2 linked regions of the Struthio camelus genome follow. The protein of the gene in region 1 purifies or fractionates together with the protein of each later gene. This does not show direct contact. Links are inferred from orthologs where the notes say so. Each region holds a gene or a part of one and is shown in the gene's direction. Other genes may lie near its edges.

Region 1 (11,131 bases):
AGGACAGAGGAGAAAGCTGAGGCTGATTAGAGAATAAATCCAGTAAAAATTTGTCAGCTCTTGGGAGATTAATTTTGATGAGTAACAGGTGACATTGTTGGGGTTTTTCTGTTTATTTTTTCATTTTTACTTCTTCAGGCCTAAAACTGGAAGGAAATCAGGGGGATCCTCTTCAGCAGGCACCCATAGTTCTCAGCTTTATCCACAGTCACGAGGGCTGGTTCCAAAGTAAAACCAGCAATTCCTCTCCAGGGCGTGAACAGCCTTTGCCTTCTGAGAGCAGAGTCAAGTAAAAACCTGCAGAGAGAACTCCCAGCCAGACTCCAAGCCCTTTCCCCTGGAGATGGCCTCTTTGCTGTTTAACTGACTTGTGCCAGTCCAGGTGCATTGAGCCACAGGAAGATATGTGCTTGCAATTCAGCATTTGGCCTCTGTGGGAAACAGATTTTTAGTTAGGAAATCAGAAATGCATGAGGTACGTTAAAGTGTATTAGAAGCAATGGGAAGCATGGGGATCACCTCACACAGCATCACCGTCTCTCCTTCTGCACTAGCCCTTTTGCTGCGCTGGGCTTTTTTTTTTTTTTTTTTTTTTTTTTTGCTGTTGGGCAATAAGAAGACAGAGTTGAAAGTCATCTCAACAGAACCACCGCTACAGAACTTCATAGTGAGAACGAAATGAGGTTAAAAAGCAGAAGGTGTATCCAAACTTGAGTAGGTGCTTAGTTTTTTCCTCTTCCTGCTTAAAAGACTGGCATCATCATTTGGGGTTAATACATTGGTCTGAGCAGTCAGGATGGCAGCTGTCATCACGTGCTCACAGCTAGCTGTGCCTCCCTTTCAGAAACCTAGAACAAAGAAGGGTCTCGGAAGCATCTTTGTGCTCTCTGGAAAGGAAGCAATAGAAACTGAAATCCTTTACTTGTTTACAGGCATAAGTTAAGAGCTCCTCTAAACTGACCTCCTACAGACCTTACCCCGTCAATAGGAACCACCTTGTCAACGAATACATCTGCATACCAGTGCCAGCTCCACAGCTATCTTCCTCTCTCTTGCCTCCATCTTTACCCCTGGCATTTGAAACCAGTACCCATGCTGAGTCTTTGAACTGTGGGGTGATGTATGGCCATTTTCTCACATCTCCCACTGTTCATATGAAATGTAGCATTGGCTTGGAGCTTTCTTCCTAGCAGGCTCATAGGGCTGACTCTACTCTTCCCCTTTAGGCTGGGTAAAGAGCATAGCACCATAAAGCGAAGCTATCTTTAAGTGCACTGTTCTTGTGAGTATGGTCCCTCTGCTTGGGGTCTAAGGAGGTTCAGTATTTGGTACCTTCTGTGCCTCGCCTGTTCCACGTTAGAACTTCTCCCTTTCCACCTCCCGGACCACTCGGGGCCTGGTAGGAGTGAAGGCCCTGTGTAACTGAGTCTGAGTAATGGAATCTGGTATTAATTCCAGGGGTTGTACTTTGAAACAAGGGAGGAAGAACTCCTGCTTTCGATGGCCTCCTCCTAAAGCTTCCCTATGAATAAGCAGGCTGCTGTAATGCTGCAGGCTTGTGTGGCAGGGTAGAGGGAAGTGGAACTGCCCTGTTGAAGACAGAGTAAGGTGTTCCTGTCTAGTGTCTCACAGCTCAGTTGTAAGTTTTAGTTCATTGTATATTGAGACTTGGGATGTTACTTTTTCTGGTTGCTGTTGGCTGTCATCCTATGAATGTTTTTACCTGTTTCCTCTCCCTCACTGATGACTTCCTCCAGACTGACATGTGTGAGTGTATGAGGACTTGCCTGGTTTTAGAAATGCTCTGATGTATGGACTCTACCTTGTGTGCTCGTTAAGTATCCACTGAGTGACTTCGTCCAGGCTGGAGAACTCCATTGTATCTGACTCCCATGAGCAGAAAGAACTGAACACTCAGCACAGAGCTCACCTCTGCATCTTGCGGGCATGATGCCTCGGTGAGCCAGCTGCCCAGGTGGGCCCGGGTTAAATTCTGACTCAGCTGCTTTGATTCATGGAGTACTTTTCTGGATCACGAGATTAATATATATTTTTTAGTTTTGGTGGAGGAAAGAGGAGTTTGCCTATAGTTGAAAGAGTAGCCATCGGACAAATTTCTTTCAACCTGGAATGGAAACCTGGCCTAATCTTTCTTTCTATAGTCCACTGTTTGTGTACGAAGAGTCTTTTAATTGGCTCTTGTTGCATAACGTAGTGTCATCTTCTTTCCCTCTAGCACATAATCTTCTGTACTTCAGCGTTTTAAAAGATAATTGTACGGCTTAAGTGCTCAGAAAATGGAAACGAAACAAGGGGCAACATAATACATATACACATATGTGTACCTAGATATGTACACATATGTTTCTATATGAATATGCATGCACAGACACAATGGTGTTTGCACATGTGTGCACTACTTCAGTCACTGCTTTTCCATAGGGAATTTGATATTAAAAGCTGAAAACTCCCCTTGTGGCAGGATTGGTACAGTGGAAATCACAGTGCAAACCTAAACTGTTCTTGTTTTAGTGTTAATAAGCTAGCTGGTTAATATGTCAGAAAGGCTCTGCTTTTAATTTTGTAGAAATTCATTAGCAAGGTGAAAGAAATTCAATAGGATGGAAAAATAATAAAATTGGATGTTTAGTCACTGTATTTAAATCGGAGCTGTGGATAGAGAGGTGGTTAGTGTATTCATGGGCAATCTCAGATTGTTACAGAAGCTTAGATTCTCATGTTGATTGACTTACCCGTGAATAGATACTCAGTGGCAATGATATTAAGATAAAATATATTGTCATAGCCCAACAAAACGCACTGAGTTCTGGCTTGAAGTTTCTAAAAAATGATCCTGCCAAGTTTGCGTCTCTCTGGGTGTTATCTGAACCATCTGGGCTTCCTGCAGGTTAACAGCCAAAGACAGGAAATCCAGCAGACTCCTGGAAGAGGCCCTTGGACAGTGTGTGCAATCATAGTCTCTTCACAGGAATGTTTAATATCCTTCTCATTTTTGCTCTGATCTGTATAATGGGATCTAACTTTTTTTAAAAGTTACATGCAGTAAAAGTAGGTCTTTGGCTCTGGGAGCAAGCACCATGTGAAAACGAAGCGTAAGAATTAAAGCACTTTCTTAAAATTCTTAATATAGGTCTGATGGCTTTTTAAAAAATATATGCATGCTGCTTGAATCTTCAAAAATACACACATCTAGCCTGGCATTTTGGACTACATCGATGCATTATACAGATCAGGCTTCTGTTCAAGAGTATTTTTTGGTTTTTTTTTTTTTTTCTTTTGATGTAGTAAGTCTGCCTCCACTGAAAACAGAGTGTTTGCCAACTTTCAGAGAGACACCTCTAAACTGGATCTATCCTCTCTTCTCATCTATAATGTTTACCATGCACCAGGGCTTAAAAAGAGCAGTGTGACTCTTGTGGGTCTGTTTCTGCTGTGTTAATACACAAATCGGAAGACCATAACCTGCAAAAGCCGTAATTAGACACTGAGATGGAACTGAGTGAGAACACTCGTCCTGTTTGCGCTGCGCTGTACGATGGTGGGTTTAATGCTCTGTGGTCTAGGTGCTTATTACCTTCTTCAGTTCCCTCTTTCCGTTTGAAATGAAGTGCCCGAGGGTCTCCTCCTGGGTGTAGCTGTCTTTATGGGAATTCGCAGCCCCTTGGAGATACACTGATCTTGACCTTCTTTTAGGTGATCTGTAGACAAAGAACCTGTCAATAGTTCTGTCCATAGGTTTTACAGCTTATATTTATTTGTATCATCTCTTTTGTCTAGGAATGTAAAAGTGATCCTAAAAAACAACGTGTAATAAAGATTTATTGCATCTACCAAAACATGCCCTTTTTCCATTCTTAATTTATAAGTAATCGCTGGGTTCCTTCGCTGCATGTTTTACAAAGCGCTATGCGCTTTTCTTCAAAAAATAAAAAACCGAAACTCCGAGCAGGCTCAGTTATGATTAGACTGTAAGCGCGAGCGAAGCGAGGAGCACCGCGGTGAGGCAGGCGGCGCGGAGGCCGCCAACAGCCAGCGCTCTCACCTCTACCGAGGCTGAGCACCGGCGACCCGCACCGGGGGCACCGCAGCCCCCCGGGGGCCTCAGGAAACGGCAGCCAGAGCAGCCACCGGGCACGGCGGGGCTCGGAGCCGCGCAGGCCGCCGGGCTGGGCCCGGCTGGGTTCTGCTGCCCGCTCCCGCTCGGCGCGGGGAGCGCCCGGGCCCGCGGCCTGAGGCGAGCGCGCAGGCAGAGGGCGCGGCCCAGCGTGCCGCGCGGCGGGCGGGCAGCGCCCGCTGGGAGCTGTAGTCCGGCGGCGCGGCCCCGGCCCCGGCGGCGGGCGGCGGGCGGGACTACAACTCCCAGCGGCCCTTGCGGTTTGTTTTCCTTCAAACGCGGCCCCGGCCCGCCGCGCGGCTCGCGCTCCCGTCCCCGCCCCTTCGCTGGCGGCGCGCGAGCCCGGCCGTGTCCCGCCGCGGCCACCGTCGCGAAGCCCCGCCCCCTCCCCCCCGCGCCGAGCCCTTTGACCCCGTTGTTATGTCGGGCCCGAGCCGCCGCCGCCGCCGCCGCCGCATTCCTTAGCGCCCGGAGCCGCCCCGCCGCGCGCCGCCCCGCCCCGCCCGCCGCGCCCCGCCGCGCCCCGCCCCTCCCGCGCGCCGCCGCCGCCCCGCCCCTCCCCGCCGCCGCCGCCTAACGGTCCGCGCCCGCCGTCCCGCCGCCCCGCGCGGGAGGAAGATGAAGGAGATGAAGCAGCGGAGGAAGAAGGAGCGCACGTGGGCTGAGGCCGCCCGCCTGGTGAGGGGAGGGGGGGGGCACGGCCGCCGCCGCCGCCGCCCCGGAGCGGCTCCGCGGGGGGCGCCGGGCCTCGCGCAGGCCCCGGGGAGGGGGCGCCGCGGCCCTGCTCTGGCCCTGAGGGGCCTCCCCTCCCCTTCCCTCCCCCCCTCCCCGCTCCGGTGCCGCCGGGCCCCGGGCTCCCCCCTGCGGCGGGGCGGGGCGGGGAGGGGGGCGGGGGGGCGCCCGCTCCTCGCCGCCGGGCAGCGGGACGGCGCCGGTCCGGGGGCCCGGGGCCCCTTCCGCCGTTGCCGCAGCCTGCCTGCTCCCCGGTTGTGCCGCCTCCCGAGGCAGGCGGGAAGGGGAGAAAACCATTTGGCGTGGTTTCGCTCACAAAGGGGCGCAGGGCTCCCGTGCAGAGGTTCCCCGGAAAGGCGGGCACGGAGGACGCGCTTTTAGGAGAAAGTGCGAGCACGTGCCCTTTCCCCTCTGAGATAAAAATCTTCTTGAAAAGAGGTTGCCAGGAGTGTGTAGTTTGGAGTGGTTTCTCAATGCCTGCGCTGCAGGAGCTTCCCTCAAGGCCACAGGTAAAGGTGTGCGAGACTCTGATAGGTTTTGGAAAGGGGCCAGTGAAAATACCGCTGTTTAGCAAGGGTAGCTTTTAACTGTTTGTGTTTTTCATTTTTAGTTGCAGCTCAGCAACAGCAGACAGTCTGACAACCGTTCTTAGCTTGAGAATGGTTTGTTTTCTTCTTTTCAGATGACTTAAACTCAGTGGGAGGAACTGGAGCCTCCTGAGAGGCCTGGCTTGAAGTCTGAGAAATGCTGCTGTCAAAAGTTTCTGCTTTGATTATTGAGACTGTAGGTTTCTTCCATATGCCAATGGTGCCCAAAGCATAGGCAGCGTAGCTGATGTATATTCATATTGCATATAATAATAACTCTTTGTTTGAGGTTAGTGTCCTTGTGATCCGAAATTTTTTTTGGTTGCTGATTTTTAGGAGATGTACCAGTGCTTATGTATCTTTTTTTTTTTTTCCCCCTTGAGAATCTGTTTATTGAAGGTTTAAACTTAAATATTGATGTTTGCCTGATTGCATTTGAGAAGTCTGTTGGAACATCGGTGGTGTTTGACCATTGCAATAGGAGAACAGTCTTTTCTCTTTATAAAGAGTTGAAATCATACCCTAGTCTTGAACCCAATTTATAAGCTAGGAAGTATAAAAAGTAAAAGAACTTTAGTGTCTATCAAACAGTGAACATGAACTAATCAGCAAGTTACTTAATTTTATTTAAGGAATAAATTTTGAGGTGTTTAGGCTCGTTGCTTGAGTTGGGTACTGAACTGTTCGCCTGTTCTTGAGCAGCCGAGGTATCGTTCTGATCTGCAACTGAGGCTCCGTGACCGTGTTCTCCCACTGAGCTGACACGGAGAGCAGTCACGTTGCAAACGGCATGGTCAGCTCTTTGCACACCGCATAGTGCTGCTAGTTGCTATTGTCTACTTTTAATGCTGATTGGAAGAAGCTTGCTCTTTTTGGCCTCTGTGTAGGAACTGCTCTCTTTCGTGACACAGTGAAATAGATCTGTATAGACGTATAAATGCCAGTATATGGAGTAAGTGATGATCCTGCTGCCCCTGTGCAGGTTCAGACGGGTTGCTGTGGTTTCCTTCTGTTGGATCTGTCAGGGGTACTTACAGGTTGGTTTGGGAGGATGTGGGAGTACTTGCTATGGAGTACGTGGACGTCTGTAGAAACAGATTTATAGAGCTTGGGAGTATTTTGTTTGCTTGTGTTTTCTTTGTTGTTGTTTTTTGTTTCTTTTGTTTTAACTTGGCGGGGTGCATACCGGAGCATGTAGACATTCAAAAGGAATCGTATGGATGAGCCGAGCTGTGACTAGTGTCTGGTATTAAGGGTGTTCTAGGATTTGGTCTTGATGCCCCTTGTGTGTAGGGTTTTCTGGATATCACAGAATTTCCTTAATGCTTGCCAAGAGGAAACCTAATCATGCTTAAGTATCTACCTTCCAGCAACTAGTGTAATCTTTTGTGTGGAAATCCTAATATTTTAGGCCTTTATGACTTAGCCTGAAAAACTGTAAAGAGGCATAAACTAGCCACTGTAGTATTTTACTGCATAAATCTGCTGGTGTAGTACTTCATCTTGTATTTCTTTTCAAGGTCCTAGTTCTGTGAGTCAAGCACTTCACTACAGGTATTTGGGATGCTTTGCCAGTAGGTGATCTTGGGGCTGGAGCTGGTGCTGGATGTTCTTGCACAAAATCCTCTCTCATTCAAATGTGCTGAACTCTAATAGGTTATAAATCAGTGTTTATAGGCTGCCGAAAACGCTACGCAAAACTGCAACTTCTAAGAAGCCATCTCATGATAAAGTCCCTCACCGTCGTTCAGTGATGGGAAATGAATCTCTTCACAACTACAGCTGTCTCTTGGCTAGAACCTCAGCCACAGGCACCCCAGGTACATGAGACGTTTGAGCCTCAACTGCATCTTTGAGCAACTGATGAACCAGAAATAGAACGATCTCATACCAGATTATCCACTTAGAGAGACCTACAGTTGCGTACTGCACTTCCAGCTTGCAGGACTGATTGTAAATCCACTAAAAATAGATCTTTATTTAACACTAGGCTTACACGCGCTCCCTGTCAAAATGCTTTTAATTTTCCTTTCTGACACTCGCTATTATATTTTGTATTCCTCTAGATGTTTCCAAGAATTGTAGGCAAAAGTGCTTTTCAGTGTTGCTGTTCCTACAGAGCTAATATTATGCACATTCCATAAAATCTGTAAAGATTCATTTGAACGCACAGAGCCATAGGACTCTTCAACAAGTGCTGTCAGGGCTAGGCATCTATGCTACTAGGAAATTAATTGGGGGAGTGATGTAAACTTCTGTAACTATGGTCGTAGGAACCCTTGACTACCAGTACTATAAATAATCAAGGGGGGAAAAATATCTTTTTGTGGGAAAGGAATAGCTGGTATTGTTTAAGCGGTAGCTTCTGTTGAAAGGTTAATGTAACATTGGTAGTCTGAGGATGGAAACGGATGGGGGATAACTACTGGAGACAGGGCTTTTGGTGGCTGATGTCGTATGTTCTTCTCTCTCCTGGTTCTTCCTTAAAGTAGCCGGTAGATTTGATATAGCTGTTGATGGGAATTTGTTCCCCTGAGCATAGATTCTTCTATCTTTATGCAAATACTAAGTTTTGGGCTGTGTATTTTGCTTGCTGCTGTGTCTGACACTTGAGAGAGGTTTTATAAGCTGTGAAGAATTTCCTTATTTCTCAAAAGAGGCCTGTTCCATTTCATGGCTCTTGCATTTGATTCTCAAGTGATGTCTTTCCCCTTGTCAGATGTTTATTCCATTTGAGTGATGGGGGATGACAGTTTGTGAAGAGGCATAGAAAATTGTAACCTGTGGAGTTTTTTGATTAGCATAGGAAAAAATGTGATGGAGCTGTATTGACTCAGAATTAAAATTGTTTACTCTGTTTCAGCACGGTTCATCGTTTTCTTTGATCTTTTCTTTAAACTCCTTGTGTTTTCATTGTGTTTTATCTCAGGTTACAGAGTTCTCAAGTTTCTGTCCCCTGCCAGGTTAGCACTACTGATTCTTATGATCTTCAGGAATCTGAAAAATAATTCTAGGATGGATATGATTTAAGAAATTCCTTTTACTCTGAAATGTAGTTGAACTGTAGAACTCAAAAACCCAACCCCTACGTTACTATCTACTTGTTGGGGGCTGGGAGACAGTGTGGGAATACAAATGGTGCCCAGCACAACTTTTTTTGCAAACGTCTTGCTAATGCAACTCTCCAAGGCAAACTGCAGGCTTTGTGCCTTGACATGTTGCTGCAGTGACTCAGTTCTAGATGCTGCTGATATAAAGGGGCATTTGGGTTCCTCCACTGGCTTCTCACACAAGTCAAACTGAAAGACAGTATCGTGTTGCTGACTCCTTTAAAGCATGGTGACAAATGAATTCAGGATTGTGCATCATTGTAGCCATGACGTTAGGGGAATTTAGTCTATGATTATGATCAAAAAGTTCCAGATTGAATATCTGTTGCTGCTTTTCTTGAGTGTTTCAGGCCATGTCATATGCCTATGTTGAAATCTTTATGCTACATCAGACCTAGAGGTTTATTGAATTCAGTATCTTTCTGCATTCGGAAAGCGACACTGGCTGCTCCAATGGAAGGCACAAGAAGCAGTGCATATTAGGCAGCTATAGGGTAATCTGCTTCCAAAGAAACAGTGATTTATGTCTACTGCAACTTATTTTTGTTCATTGTTTCCTGTTTATCTCGATGATCTTCTTATCCATAGAAATGTCTAGCCCTCTTTTTGAATCCTGGTGCATTTTTGCTTCTAAATGTTTAGAAGCAGTAAGTTTCACTTAAGAAAAAAATATTTTTAAAATGACCCCTTTAATTTTTCCATACATAAGTGATGATTCTGTTCTTCGTATATTATATGAAAGGTTGAGCTGTTCCAAACTTTATTGCCTTTTTAATATCTCCTGTTACTCATTTGCTTTCTAAAGCAATCAGTCCAAATCTTTGTAGTGTCTCTGTCCATATTTTTTCCACATCCTCTATTGTTCTTCTTGTTCTTTTCTGAATTATGTCCTCCTCTGACAAGAATTCTGAATTTTACATGTGGTACTCCTCTTGAGATGGAACGAAGATGAAATGAATGCAGTATTTCAAGGAAGATGCACTGTTGAATTGTGTAGTTATACAGTAACACTTTTATCACCAGCAAGATACTAGATGCTGTATAGAGATGTAAGAAGGTATGTACGGTAAGGAGAACCGCTGCATAGGTTTGAAGGTCTTATGTGGTACCAACTCAGTCTAATGCATATTGAAAGTCTGGAAGCTTTACCACAGACTTCATGTTATAGGGGCAGGGCCAAATTCTACTTCTTTCTTCTTCATGTTTGTATTTCAGTTAGTTAGGGATGAGATGAATGTGAGCCCTTTGTAACAACGTGATCTAATCTTGAGGTAGCCTGGATTTTTTTAGCATGTCATTTGTAGATGAATAAAGTTTTAAGAGGCATAGTATTGTATTTGAATCCCAGCTTATGGAGTAGTTCTATTAATTTAGAAGCAAATTCTATACTGACGCCTTGTGTTTCTGTTTCTTCAGGTGCTGGAAAACTACTCTGATGCTCCTATGACCCCAAAACAGATTCTGCAGGTCATAGAGGCTGAAGGACTGAAGGAAATGAGGTTAGTATTGATCATCTTGTTTAAAACATAGCGTGCGTGGAACATGGAGGAGGCTGCATATAAAGGCTTGGGTTGCCTCGTGCAAGTCTGCCTCTCACTTCCAGCCCACTTCTCTTCCATTTTTTTTCTTTTCTTTTTTTTTTTTTTCTTTCGAGCGTAGTGATTTGGGAAGACAGTATATACTGCCTGATTATCCTTGATTTAAAAAAAAAAAAAAAATCCAAGAAAAGATTCCGGTTATTATCATATGCAGAAACCCCTTCATCCATTTATTGTAAAATAAATGCCTGTCGCAGATCAGACTCCTGCGTTGTATTGTACCACTTGTGTATTTCTCTTATCAGTAGCTCCCAGTAGTTTCTGCTATTGTGATTCTAGTTCAGTAACAGTTTTAAGTTCCGTCCCCTCTCATACTTCATTTCTAGAGCAGATGTTACCTTTTAGGAGAGTCAAGAAAACACCTTTATTTTGTATTAGTATGCTGGCTTCTGATCAGATTCTAGAGCACTGTGGTAGTGTGGCTCATGCTACTGTGGCTCTTGACACTTGTATAAAGGAAATATACGTTTCAGTATGTATTTTGCCCAGAAAAGAACCTGGTATGGAACCTAGGATGCTACAGAATGGAAGACTGTTTTCCTCAGTTAAGTTCACGTGAACTTCCATCTGTTTCTGTGACTGCATAGAAGAGAAATAGAAAATGTCTTGCAGATCAAAAAAGTGGGCAACTGTGATGGTATAAATGCCTCAGGGCAGTGTGATTTTAAAAAAAAATGAGTTTGACACCAGTGGCGCAACAGATCGTCTTTGGCTCATGCATACTGGAGAATCCAGATGTGTGGACTGTTTCTAATCATATTTGCTCCCTCACCCCGGTTTTATGAACCTCTACCTAGCTACAGGAAGTAAACTAATTTCTTCTGGGACGTAACAACTCAAAACGTTAATTTGTTTCTGCTTCTTATTTGTCCTGAAATCAGGAAACAGCTGCGATGGTTTGAACAGTGAACAACTTTGTGATGCAGACAGAGGTATAATGTGTAGGAGTTACTGTCGTTTAGAGAGGTA
Region 2 (11,131 bases), on another chromosome or scaffold:
AAATACAGCAAGTAGTTTTAGAGGTTCCTGATGAGACAGTGATTTACACAGAAATGATTGAAAGTTGAAGTTTTATTACTTCATATGTGATAAAGTAGTTTTTGTCCAGTTCTGATGGCAGCAGTTTTTCAGCATTTGTGCTTGTTATGCTACTTCCGTTGTAAAAAACATAAGAAGGGCCATGCTGAGTCAAACCACAGGTTGATATGATCAAGTCCTCTGTCTCTGGCAGAAGTGAGTGGATGCAAACATACAGTGATCCTTCTTATGGTGAAGCCTCTCTGCTTCTGGCAGTTGGCAGCTCAGGTACCTTAAAATGACATCGTACCTGGACCATTGTGTTTATGAGCTGGGAGAGACACATTCTCTGCAGGTCTCCAAAATCCTGTGAGAGTCCATTTACAGTTTTGGCCTCTGCGTGAAAGTACTGCCCTCCATTTTAAAACCTGCTATTTGACAAACCTCAAGCTTGAGGTTGTGAGCCATTGCCTTAATCCGTGTTTGTTCCTAAGAATAAATTGCCTTGATTAAACAGTGTTTAATAACATAAACACTGAGCCAAACAAATGCATTTTGCATTAAGTCCTGAAATCTCAGTCTTGCCTCTCAAGGTATTGTTCTAGTCTCAGTTCAGTGCCTGAGAACATTGTCTCCTGTTTCCACATATACTTTAGCCACCTGATTTATATGATGCCAACACTTCCCTCAGTATGTCACGTGATGCTTCAGTCTATCAAGATGAGAGCAATTTGTCTGCTATGGACACTCCCATCACTGTCCCAGAGAAGCGAGGAACACAGGTCAGACTCCTCCCTTTTTTCATGTGGCTGCAGAGTTGGGTTGTATGAACAAATTACTGAAAGGAGGCAATCACGTTGTAGGAAACAGGTGACAACAACAGCAGGTTTCCCAAGCAGAGCTGGGAACCCATTTCCAAAGCTATGTGCTTTCCTTCATTTTGACTGCTCTAGTGGAAAAAGAAAAAATTAAAGAGCCCTCGGAGTTTGGACGCTTGTGAAATCTACCACTCAGATTCCTAAGGATCAAAAGCTGCAAAAGAATCTGCCTAAGGCCAGATATTTGTTTGCTTCACTACTTCTGGGAGTAGAAACCTGGTGACTCATGCTTCAGAGTGCTAATATGCAGTCCCCCATTGATTCTGAATAGGGAAATGGGGAAGTATATTCTAAAGGTTTGGAGAATCGTAATTAGTTTATTATGGTTGTATTCAGTGCCCCTTAGAAACTATACAAACTCCTAGGAAGAGATGGTTGGCATTGTAGATACCTTGTGTCTGTGAAAGAAAGAAAGAGGGGAAAAAAAAAAAAAAAGAAAGACAAGGTTAAAGGTGTTAAATCACTATAAATGAATTGGTTACAGGAACCAGAGTTGTATTTTTTCTTAGTCTTCCTTCCACGTTAAACAAAAAAAAGTTGGTTGGGTGAGAAGGCACAACGGAAGGTGATATGGTAATGTGAGCATAAAAATAAACAATCAGGAGAGGGAGAAAGGTGAGGAGAGCCCCAAGGTTGAAGCTGGTACTAGAAAGACTAATGAGAGCCACTCTGAGCAATCCAGACCAGCAGAGTTTGAATATGACCGGTTCTGTCTAGATTGCTGTTGTTTGTGGCTTGGAGAATGGAAGTCTTGAAGTCTTCTGTAGGTTTAGAATTTACAGTCCTTGGATCAGAATCTGCATCTACCTTGTACTCACGATGGCTGGGGGAAGAACGGGAGAGAAGGGCAGGAAAAGATTTGCTGGAACTGCTGACTGTTGTGAAAATATCTTGTGAAAACATGTACTTTTAAAGATCTAGTGGTCTATTCCAGAAATAGCTAGGTAAACAAGACCTCGGGTGCTTTAAGGCTGGAGATTTCCTTTTCACAGATGAGCACATCAGGAGAAAGGTGGGTGGAGACAGTGTACTCTCTGATCTTGGATTAAAGGAAGAAAGGACCCTTGCTCTGAGAGTGACTTCCCCCCACCCTCCCCTTTCTTCCCCCCACTCATCATTGTGGTCTGGATGTCAGTCCTACCTTTGGCTTATGTCCATTAGTACCTTCCTCAATGGTGTCGCTATTTGTGTTCCCCATTCAGATGCGCCAGGGGCGAGGTAGGCTGGGCGAGGAAGACTCTGACGTAGATATTGAAGGGTTTGATGAGGATGATGATGGGAAACCTAAGACTCCAGCCCCAGTGAGTATATTTACAGAAATCCCATCCACAGTCCACATGTTGACTTGCATCCTTGTGGTAGAAGTCTCCATAGTATAAGGGATGTATGCTGTCTCTAGCATCCTGAATGGCAGCGTATTCACAGCAGTAGTTAAGACAATTAAATGTAGTTTTAAAATGTCAGCATTACAAAGCAAATTAACGAATACGTCAAACTGAACTGTGAGATAAAAAATAGGCGTATGCTGGAAACGGCAGTAGTTTATACAACGTCTGAACCTAATGATTCCTGTTCTGAATGACGTAGGAAGTTGAGGATGCAGATGGTGATCTTGCTGATGAAGAAGAAGGATCATCCCAGCAGCCCCAGGCCAGCGTCCTCTATGAAGATTTGCTCATGTCAGATGGAGAGGATGATGATGATGGGAGTGATGAAGAAGGAGATAATCCTTTCTCATGTAGGTTTCCCTTTTTATATAACAAGGTTGAATAGGAACTAGTTGTTCACAAACCCAGCAACTTTCTTGTCCTTCCATCACAAAAACATAACGGGATTATTGGGATTAATTAATAATTAGTCAATTAATAATTGGGATACATAGGCCAAGTGGTCTGGCAGTCACAAAGGAAAAGAGACCAAAAGGACAAGATGAAAAAACTGGATGGGCAGAGATTACCAAAAGCACACAATTTTGTTGATGGGAAACCATGTGATCAATGTTATTATCAAGAGCTGGAAGAGGAGTTTGAAGGCTCTTCAGATTGTTTCCCTCTCTTTCTAAAGACGTGTCCATGCAGAAAAGCATGCGGTGATATTTAGAGATGGCTTCAGAAAATTATTATGGGGGGGGGGGGAGTTAGAATCAAGAAAGAAAAGAGGTGGTAGAAGTACTTGAGTAGAAGAATTAGATTTTTTTTTTTTTGAATAACATCAGAAATGGCTACTCAGTAAGTGATACCAGGTACCCTTTCTGCTGCATTTTGGAAACTACTTCCTATACATTCCTTACGGTCAATATTGTGTCCTTTTAACAAATAAAGACAGTATGTATGTCACTGAGAGAACAAAACTGTTGATTTATGAACAAGTGTTGGCTTATTGCACAGCTATCCAACTGAGTGAGAGCGGCAGCGATTCAGATGTGGAGTCCAGTGCAGTGAGACCCAAACAACCTCATGTTCTTCAAGAGAATACACGAATGGGCATGGACAATGAAGAAAGTATGATGTCTTATGAAGGAGATGGTGGGGAGACATCTCATGTCATGGAGGACAGTAATATCAGGTAATTAGAGCAAAGAATGTTGTTAAAATATTTCTTTCTTCAGAACAAAGTCCCTTCTGTTAGAGATTTCTGAAGTGTTTATGACAAAGAGCTGGAGAATGTCTCATGTTCTTGTTAAGTTACTCTGTTACTGGTTTTAGTGTTGCACCTGTAATTGCAACTTACTTTTGAAGTTCTTGTTGACAGGAATTTGGTTTTGCTTTTAGACCATCGCTAATGAAAAATATTTGTTAAAATAATAAAATTAAGAATCACTTTTTCTTGCAAGTTAAATAACTTACTGTGCATAGTATTTTTTGAAGGCAAGGAAAATGAACCTTGTTTTAGATGGTCTCAGAAATTAGTAAGTGCCTTTGAAGCTAAAAGATAATATAGCTGATTAACGTCAAGCTGTTTTTCTTTGAGAGTAATAATTTCCTTCCTTGGAAGAAAATTGCTTGCTTGAAGTCCAAAAGAACAGCAAAGAATAGGAATATGTATATTGTGTATCTTGGAATGAGTTCCATTATTAGAAAATGGCAAGTACAGCAATAGTAGCTTTATTTTCTGCACTGATTTGAGAAAATACTGATCTACTTTTCCTTCTCCGGCCATTCTGTAGAGAGTTAGCATTAGATTCTCTGTTCTTTTTTTTTTTTTTTTTAATTGAAAGAACTCACTTCCATAATGTTGTTATTGGTATTTGCCTAATAAATTATTTTACAGGCCAGCTGTCATAATAGAGATAAGACCTGCCCATAAGAGTAGTTACGCTGGATTAGGCAAATGGTCCATCCAGCCCAGTACCTTGGCAATAGCCAATAGTAGATGCTAGAGAAGCGGATGAGAATGGGCTGTGCTCTCGTTGGAATTGCTGTGCTGTCTGCCTTTCCCATCTCCAGTAAAGGTGACAGATGGAAGGTGCTGGAACAAGTAGAGAACTCCGATTTTTTTTTTTTTTTGCCCTGAGTATTTCAGATTGGGTTGAGGATGTTGATAGATAACTATTTCATCGGGAGAGCTGTTTCTTAGTTAACAAAACTGGTCACTGATCAAATTGAATTGCACAATGTTTCAAAGTGTTTCACAGCACTTCCACTCAGGGACATTTTACAGGAGTAAAAATGTTACAGACAGAATATCTGATGCCAACAACTGATTTGAAATAGTAGTATAAGAAGAGTATATTCTTTCTTCCAGCTATGGCAGCTATGAAGAACCAGACCCAAAATCCAACACAAGAGATACTAGTTTCAGCAGTATTGGAGGGTATGAAATCTCAGAAGAGGAGGAAGAGGAGGAAGAGCAGCGTTGTGGGCCGAGCGTACTAAGTCAGGTCCATCTGTCTGAGGACGAGGAAGACAGTGAGGATTTTCATTCCATTGCAGGAGACAGTGACTTGGACTCAGATGAATAAACTTCTCGGGAAGCTCCCTTTCCCTGAGACGGCAGTCATCTTGGGCTACTCTTGGCTCATGAACTACTAACATCCCAGCTGGGTATAAGAAACAACATGGTGCAGTCTGTGTTAATACGAAACAGCTTTTTTTTTTTTAATAGTAGTTTTTATTGTTCTAAAACTTGTTACGTGACTGAGTAAATAGTGAAAAATAAGCTTTAGAGAAACATGCCCAGCTGAAGTACTGGGCTGGTGTGATCTTCACTAGTTCTAGAATCCAGCTGAAGACCTTTAATGGTTTGTTCTTCCTTCTTTATAGATGTAATTTCTCAAAAATAGTAGCTTGTTGGATTCATGCATTTCTGCCAGGGAGAGATGGTTGCTCAGAGTACAATGTCTGCAGTTGTTTTGATATCAAAACAATTGTAAAATAAGAACTTTCCCTTTATGAAATGACAGTTACCTGGGAACAGAGTATGAATGCATTCTCTCCTGACTACTGTCTACCTTGAATGTGTCAGTGAACAGCTGCCCTATTGGTTTTTTTTTTTTTTTTAAGCTGCGATTGGCCACAGAAAACAAAATTTGCTAGTTGGAGTCTTCAGGAATTTTCAGGCTGCTTGTATCCTGGGTGTGAGATTCCTTATGTTTAGTCAAGTGAGAAGAAAGCACAGACTTTGGTACTGTACTTACTGGTTAAATTAATTGTAAATAAAACTCAGGATGGTTTGAAGATGGGCTCCTGCTGTGCTCGTGCGTCCCCGAGGTCCCCCCCCGCTCTCGGGCTACCTCCCAGCGGCGCTTTCCGGGCGGAGTCCGGCCGCTCCCCTCCCCTCCCCTCCCCCGCCCCCGGCGGCCCCGGGCTGTCCCGGCAGGCCCCGCGCGCCGCCGGCACCCGGATGTGCCCGCGGACTCCATGTGCGGGCAGAGCGGCGCGAGGGGAGGGCGGGCGCGCAGGCGCAGTTCCTCCCCGTTTGTCGCAATGGCTTCGCGCGGAAGGATACGCGCATTGACAAAGCCGTCGCCGCCCCTCGCCCGAAGCCGCCGAAGGCGGAGCGTGGCGGAAGGAGACGCATCCAGGTCCGGCAGAGATTTCTCCGCCGCGCAGGGGCCCGCCCGGCGCCGCTCTCTCGCGCCGCCCGGACTATTTCGTGAGCGGAGATAGGTCCGGCAGCGGCCATTCGGCTGTGTGCTGCCTCCGCTGCCGCCAGCGCCATTTCGGGAGCCGCCGCCTTAGCGTGCCGGGAGCGTGGGGAGCTCGGTCCTGCTCCGCGTGCCCCAGCCTAGCGGCCCCCTGCGTGCCCGCGGCCGTTCTGCTGCCTCCGCCCGAGCCCCGCCGGCCTCCCTTCGCGATGGCGACCTCCGTGGGGAACGTAGCTGACAGCACAGGTACTGCGGCCTGCCGCGCGGGGACGGGCTCGGGGGCGCGCCGGCAGGCCGGGCCCCGCCGCCGCCGCCGCCCTGCGGGGGCCGGGCGCTGCCCTTGCCCGCGGGGCCAGCCGGAGCCCGAGCGCCGCGCTCCCCGCTCCCGGCGGAACTTTCCAGAAGCGGCGGCGGCTCCCGGCGCGGCCCCCGCCGCCGTTGTTCGCGTGTCGGTTCGGCTCGCGGCGCCGCCGGGCGGGCCCGGTCGCGGCGCGAGGCCCCGGCTCTGCCGCCAGCCGCAGGGAGCCGGCCCGTGCCGCGGCTGCCCGGCGGCTGCGTAGGAAAACGCTCCTCCAGGAGGCCGAGATGATTAGTTCTGAGGGGGGGTGGTTTCTTATGTCTATATTTATCTGGCAATTAGGTTTTTACAGAGGACGCAAAAGGATGAAAGCCTGACCTAAAACGTAAATTGATTTTTCCAGAATTTCTCTCGCTATATTTAACCAGGAGGTCGCTCCTGGAATAGCATAGCAGGGCAACTTTTTCTGGCTAGAAGGACAGCGTGCTCTTGCTGAGAAAGGTGCTCTCTTCAGTTTACAGATCTAGAACGCGGGGGCGGAGGGACAAAATCCCCCTTCCTGCCTTCAGGGCAAGGAGAAGGCCCTGCATCCCGGAAGGATGAACAGAAAACACAGCTTTTTCCGCTAGAGTTTTTTGGGGCCTTCTGTTACCAGAGAGCAACGAAGGGTCTGAAAAGGTGAAACAGGATGATGGAAAAGTAGGGAAACAAGGTTATACAGGGAAAGAGACGCGCTACTGGTAGGAGTGACGCAAAGGGAAGCGGGAGTGGTACAAAGGTGGAGATGGAGAGAGGGCAACTAGCTTCTGTACGGCATTGCTGATAACGCCTTCCACCTCAGCCAGAACCACTCACCTCCTCCCCTGATCTGCAGCATCCTCTCGGGGCCTTGAGCTGTGGAGGTGACAAGGACGTGTATGGGGAGGGGAGCGTTCCCTGTTCCTTGCCACCACCACCTCCCGTGTGGAGGTGGCAACTATTCCTGTCTGCGCCTAGATTTTATCCAAATGCAAAGCTGGGTGCGAGCGCACATGAAGTGCTTGGCTTGCTATTTCTGGAGAATTTTTGTCTTGTGTACGGTTGTGGTATTTCTGCACGGGCTTTTTGTTTTGTGTGCGTTCTCTAAAAGTATCAGGAAAGGTCATTGTTGTAGCACATGCTATGCTTTTCCAAGGTCGTAATTAAGGCACATAGTACATGCTGGCATAGGTACGCAAGTTCATGTAATACAGCAGGTGAATGTTTATAAGACTTGGTAAGGGATTCTTTTGGCTATAACTCTTTCACTGGCGTTGTTTTTTTTTTAAATGGATTCTGTGAGCAACTGTGAGTGGCAGTATTATGGATTCCTTGGATAACGTGATTCTCTTCTGTAGTAGCCCTAGTAAACGTTGAGCTCGTTTTGAAGCCTGCGGTAGTTGTCCACTTGCACTTTCCTACCTGCTTGTGAAGAGGATTGCTGCTAAAATGTGTCTTGGGAGAGATGGCTGACTGTCTTACTGCAAGTGACTAGTTTGCTTTATCTCAGTTGGTAGGGTTTGTTTTGTAAGGGGACTTCATAGATGAAAGAAATCTTAGTGTTTCACTCGTTTTGTTGTTCTCATTAACAATTTTTATTCATGGGTTTTATATGAAATTTTCTATTTTTAAAATGAATTTTATGAAATTTTCTTTTTTTTTTTTTTCATTTTCTCTCTGTTGCCCCTACAACTGTAACTTCAGTTTCAGTTTTCTGTTTTGCTTAAATAGGCAAAGCATAGTATGTAGGTAAGTTAGAAGGTTCCTTCCAAGTGGTGATAAGAATTTAAGTCTAAGTTTTTGTGGGGTTTTTTGTTTATTTGTTTTGTGTTAGCATTCGAATTTAATAATACCCTTGGAGTTTATTTGAAGAAATGATTGAATTAGGTCCACGGAGCATGCACTAGTTTCCCCCTTTTTGCACTGTCAGCAGAACTTGAAAATACAGCAGCTGTCAGATGAGCTAAACCTGTGTGACTGTTAACAACAGAAGGTAGGCAAGGAACAGCATGTTTGTACTTCAGTATTCTTACTTGTCAGCCACTTCAAATTTTGGTAAATGATGCTGTCATTTTCACGTTAAATAACGCTTGTACATGTTTACTGTCAGTAGGTTTAACCAGATGCAGAAGTCCACGTTTTCCATAGGCTGGGTTTGGAAAGGTCTTAAGCTAGGCTCCTTGAAAAAAGGACTTAATCTGTGTGAAGATACTTGATTAGTATTTTGTGACGTCTTTGGAAGTGAGTAGTCGTGCTAGTTTCAGTGAAGCCAGAACCGGTTAAAGTTTTCAACACCGACAGAGACAATGCATCTGGAATAACAGCTTTAGTTACCTCCTGTAGTGTTTGCGGTCTTCAAAACCCAGCAGTGCTAAAAAGCTCTCTTTAAAAGAACTTAAATGGCTTCCATCAATCTCAAGTCCGTTAAACACTAGATAATAACTCTGTGCCTAATCTCCTCGTGATTATTTTTCTATTGCATTAGCAAATTTCCTTGTATTAGGAAGGATTTACCTGTGCTTCGTTGTATCAAAAATGTAAAACTCTATGTCTTGGTGGGAAATGTTTAATAAGCGAGTTTAAAAGTGACTGCAGGACTGAAGAAGGGCAAATAAGAGACATTTGCAGTAGTTGAAACATATTTTTATACTTTTAATAAGTAATTTTATATCGTAAGTATAAAATAAAAAGACAATTTGAGGGCAGATCCTTCTTTTTAGGATGAACGTTTTTTTTTTTCCCCCAAGATGCGCTTACCATATCTATCTTCTAGGATAGAACTGTACTTTGTAAGACAACTTACTTTTCACAAAAAAGGTTGTTAATCTAAAACAGGTGATATTTTACTCAAGTTTTTTGTTCTCTGTGAATATGTTGTTAACAGTAAAAGCACTTTGTCACTCCAGTTCCAGCTCGACACCCAGAATTAGCGAATCCTTTTCTGTATCCTGTGCTTTGTAAAGACTGCTTCTGTGGGCCAACAGCATAAAAATCACAGCTATCGTTCTGAGACCAAAATTGATTTTGATGGGAGAATTTTTACTCATTATAGATAATACAGCCTGATAACAGAGGTTGGAAGAAATGTTGTGTGTTACACTTGTATTTATTTATTTATTCATTCATTTTTGTTACGGGCTTTCACGTGCTACAAATCTACTGCTACAGCAAAACTTTTTTTTTTTTTTGAGTCCTTTGAAGTTTTTGTCTGCTGTCCTCTTCATTTCTCAATTAATGGTTTTTAGAACTTGTCTTTAATACTATGAAGTATAAGACTTACAGTTGGGGAAAAGTCAACAGATTCATTGTTTTGTTACTAGCACTTTTAGTGTTATGAACCAAAGTACAATATTATTTTGGGAATGTTGTCAGATATTTTTCAGGTTATTGGAAAATGATTGACTTGTAATGACTCTCTGTGTTTATACGCTTATTATTAACTGATGAGGTTATGGACTATTATACCCATCATGTTAGAAGTGTCATAACTATAGATTGAGGTATGAAGATCTGAGAGTTTTAAATGTCACATGCCGTAGTACTTTATGTAATTTCAAGCATTTTCATCCTTTAGTTTTGCACATCTTTTTTTTTTTGCTTAAACATTTTTTTGTTTTGTTTCCATTATCTAACTTTTTGTTTTCCCCCCTTAAATGTTTTGGTGATTCTCCAGAACCAACGAAACGTATGCTTTCCTTCCAAGGGTTAGCGGAGTTGGCTCATCGTGAATATCAGGCAGGAGACTTTGAAGCAGCAGAGAGACACTGCATGCAACTTTGGAGACAAGAGCCTGATAATACTGGTGTGCTTTTATTACTGTCGTCCATTCACTTCCAGTGTCGCAGACTGGACAGGTAGGAGACCTGAGGTGTCCTGTCAAGCTTTACTTGTAGTTTGCACCTCTCGTAACATTGAGCACAGCTGACAAAAGTTCTGTTACAACTGCGGTTTTATCGTTGAACACAAATACTGACTAACCTCTTGGCAGCAGTAAGAATTGGTCCGAAAATGTTCTTTCTTTCTGAATTTTGCTAGGGCAAAAGAAATCCGAATTGGAATTGCTAGCCTTGCAACAAACAACAGATGTTGTTACTCATGTTTTACTTTGATATCAGAATATCAGCCATGCTTGTATGTACCAGAGGCGTCTGCACTTGCAAAAAATAATGATCGTTCATTCCACCTGAAGTGTGGGGTTTTGCGGGGAATTTTTTTTTAGTTGCAAGACTGTGACAAGATGATTGTTTGCTGTGAAGTGGCGTGATTAGTTGAATGTTTTGTTCTCTGAGAGTTGTCTCCCTGTTCTCTTTCTATCTGCTCCTGAGCTTGCTTTTTGTTCCTCAAGCATTTCAAACGGTATTATCTGTTTCAGCTGTGACTCTGTGTGTGCTGGCAATGGAAGTAACTTGTGAGTGGGATTTAATTTACGTAGGCTTGTAAACAAAGCCGTAATAATTCAGATACGGGGAAAAGTGAGTGGGAGACAGAATTTTACACCTACGTATCTTTGCTATATCCTATTTCTTGAGAAGAGTATCCAGTAAAATATTGCTTAGAGAAAAGCTGTCAGATGTTGGCAGAGGCTTAACAGACATTCTACAGTAACCTTTTTTTAAACTGCGTTTAGCTCAGGTTTAGCCAGAGGCTTGCAGGACTCTACTAGTTGCAAACTAGAGTTGTTCTTTGTTCAGTAGAATCTAAAATGGAAGGGAGAGGGTAATTTAAGCTAAGAGAAGCTACGCTTTTAAGACTGCTCTCCGTAACTTCACGTTTGTTGACTATATGTTTGGCTCACTTGAGCATGAGTGTTCATTAAGTAAGCGGACAGGCAAA

The links.
Region 2: the proteins of ASXL1 (region 1) and OGT purify together in Homo sapiens (affinity purification with mass spectrometry; 3 studies listed by BioGRID and IntAct, with this or other methods). This does not show direct contact. The link is inferred for Struthio camelus from reciprocal best matches to the Homo sapiens genes ASXL1 and OGT.

What each region holds. Positions count from the first base shown.
Region 1 is NC_090959.1:18,696,394-18,707,524, forward strand, and holds the start of ASXL1 (polycomb group protein ASXL1), read left to right. Parts: upstream 1-4,672; 5' UTR 4,673-4,753; coding exon 4,754-4,813; intron 4,814-5,099; exon of another isoform or gene 5,100-5,340; coding exon of another isoform or gene 5,341-5,376; intron 5,377-5,480; exon of another isoform or gene 5,481-5,611; coding exon of another isoform or gene 5,612-5,650; intron 5,651-6,516; exon of another isoform or gene 6,517-7,214; coding exon of another isoform or gene 7,215-7,274; intron 7,275-9,980; coding exon 9,981-10,063; intron 10,064-11,131. Other genes in the region: kinesin-like protein KIF3B, read left to right, coding at 139-232.
Region 2 is NC_090952.1:25,817,655-25,828,785, forward strand, and holds the start of OGT (UDP-N-acetylglucosamine--peptide N-acetylglucosaminyltransferase 110 kDa subunit), read left to right. Parts: upstream 1-5,901; 5' UTR 5,902-6,191; coding exon 6,192-6,228; intron 6,229-9,971; coding exon 9,972-10,152; intron 10,153-11,131. Other genes in the region: TAF1 (transcription initiation factor TFIID subunit 1), read left to right, coding at 675-800, 2,099-2,197, 2,484-2,634, 3,284-3,461, 4,641-4,857. UniProt on the Homo sapiens protein: Catalyzes the transfer of a single N-acetylglucosamine from UDP-GlcNAc to a serine or threonine residue in cytoplasmic and nuclear proteins resulting in their modification with a beta-linked N-acetylglucosamine (O-GlcNAc).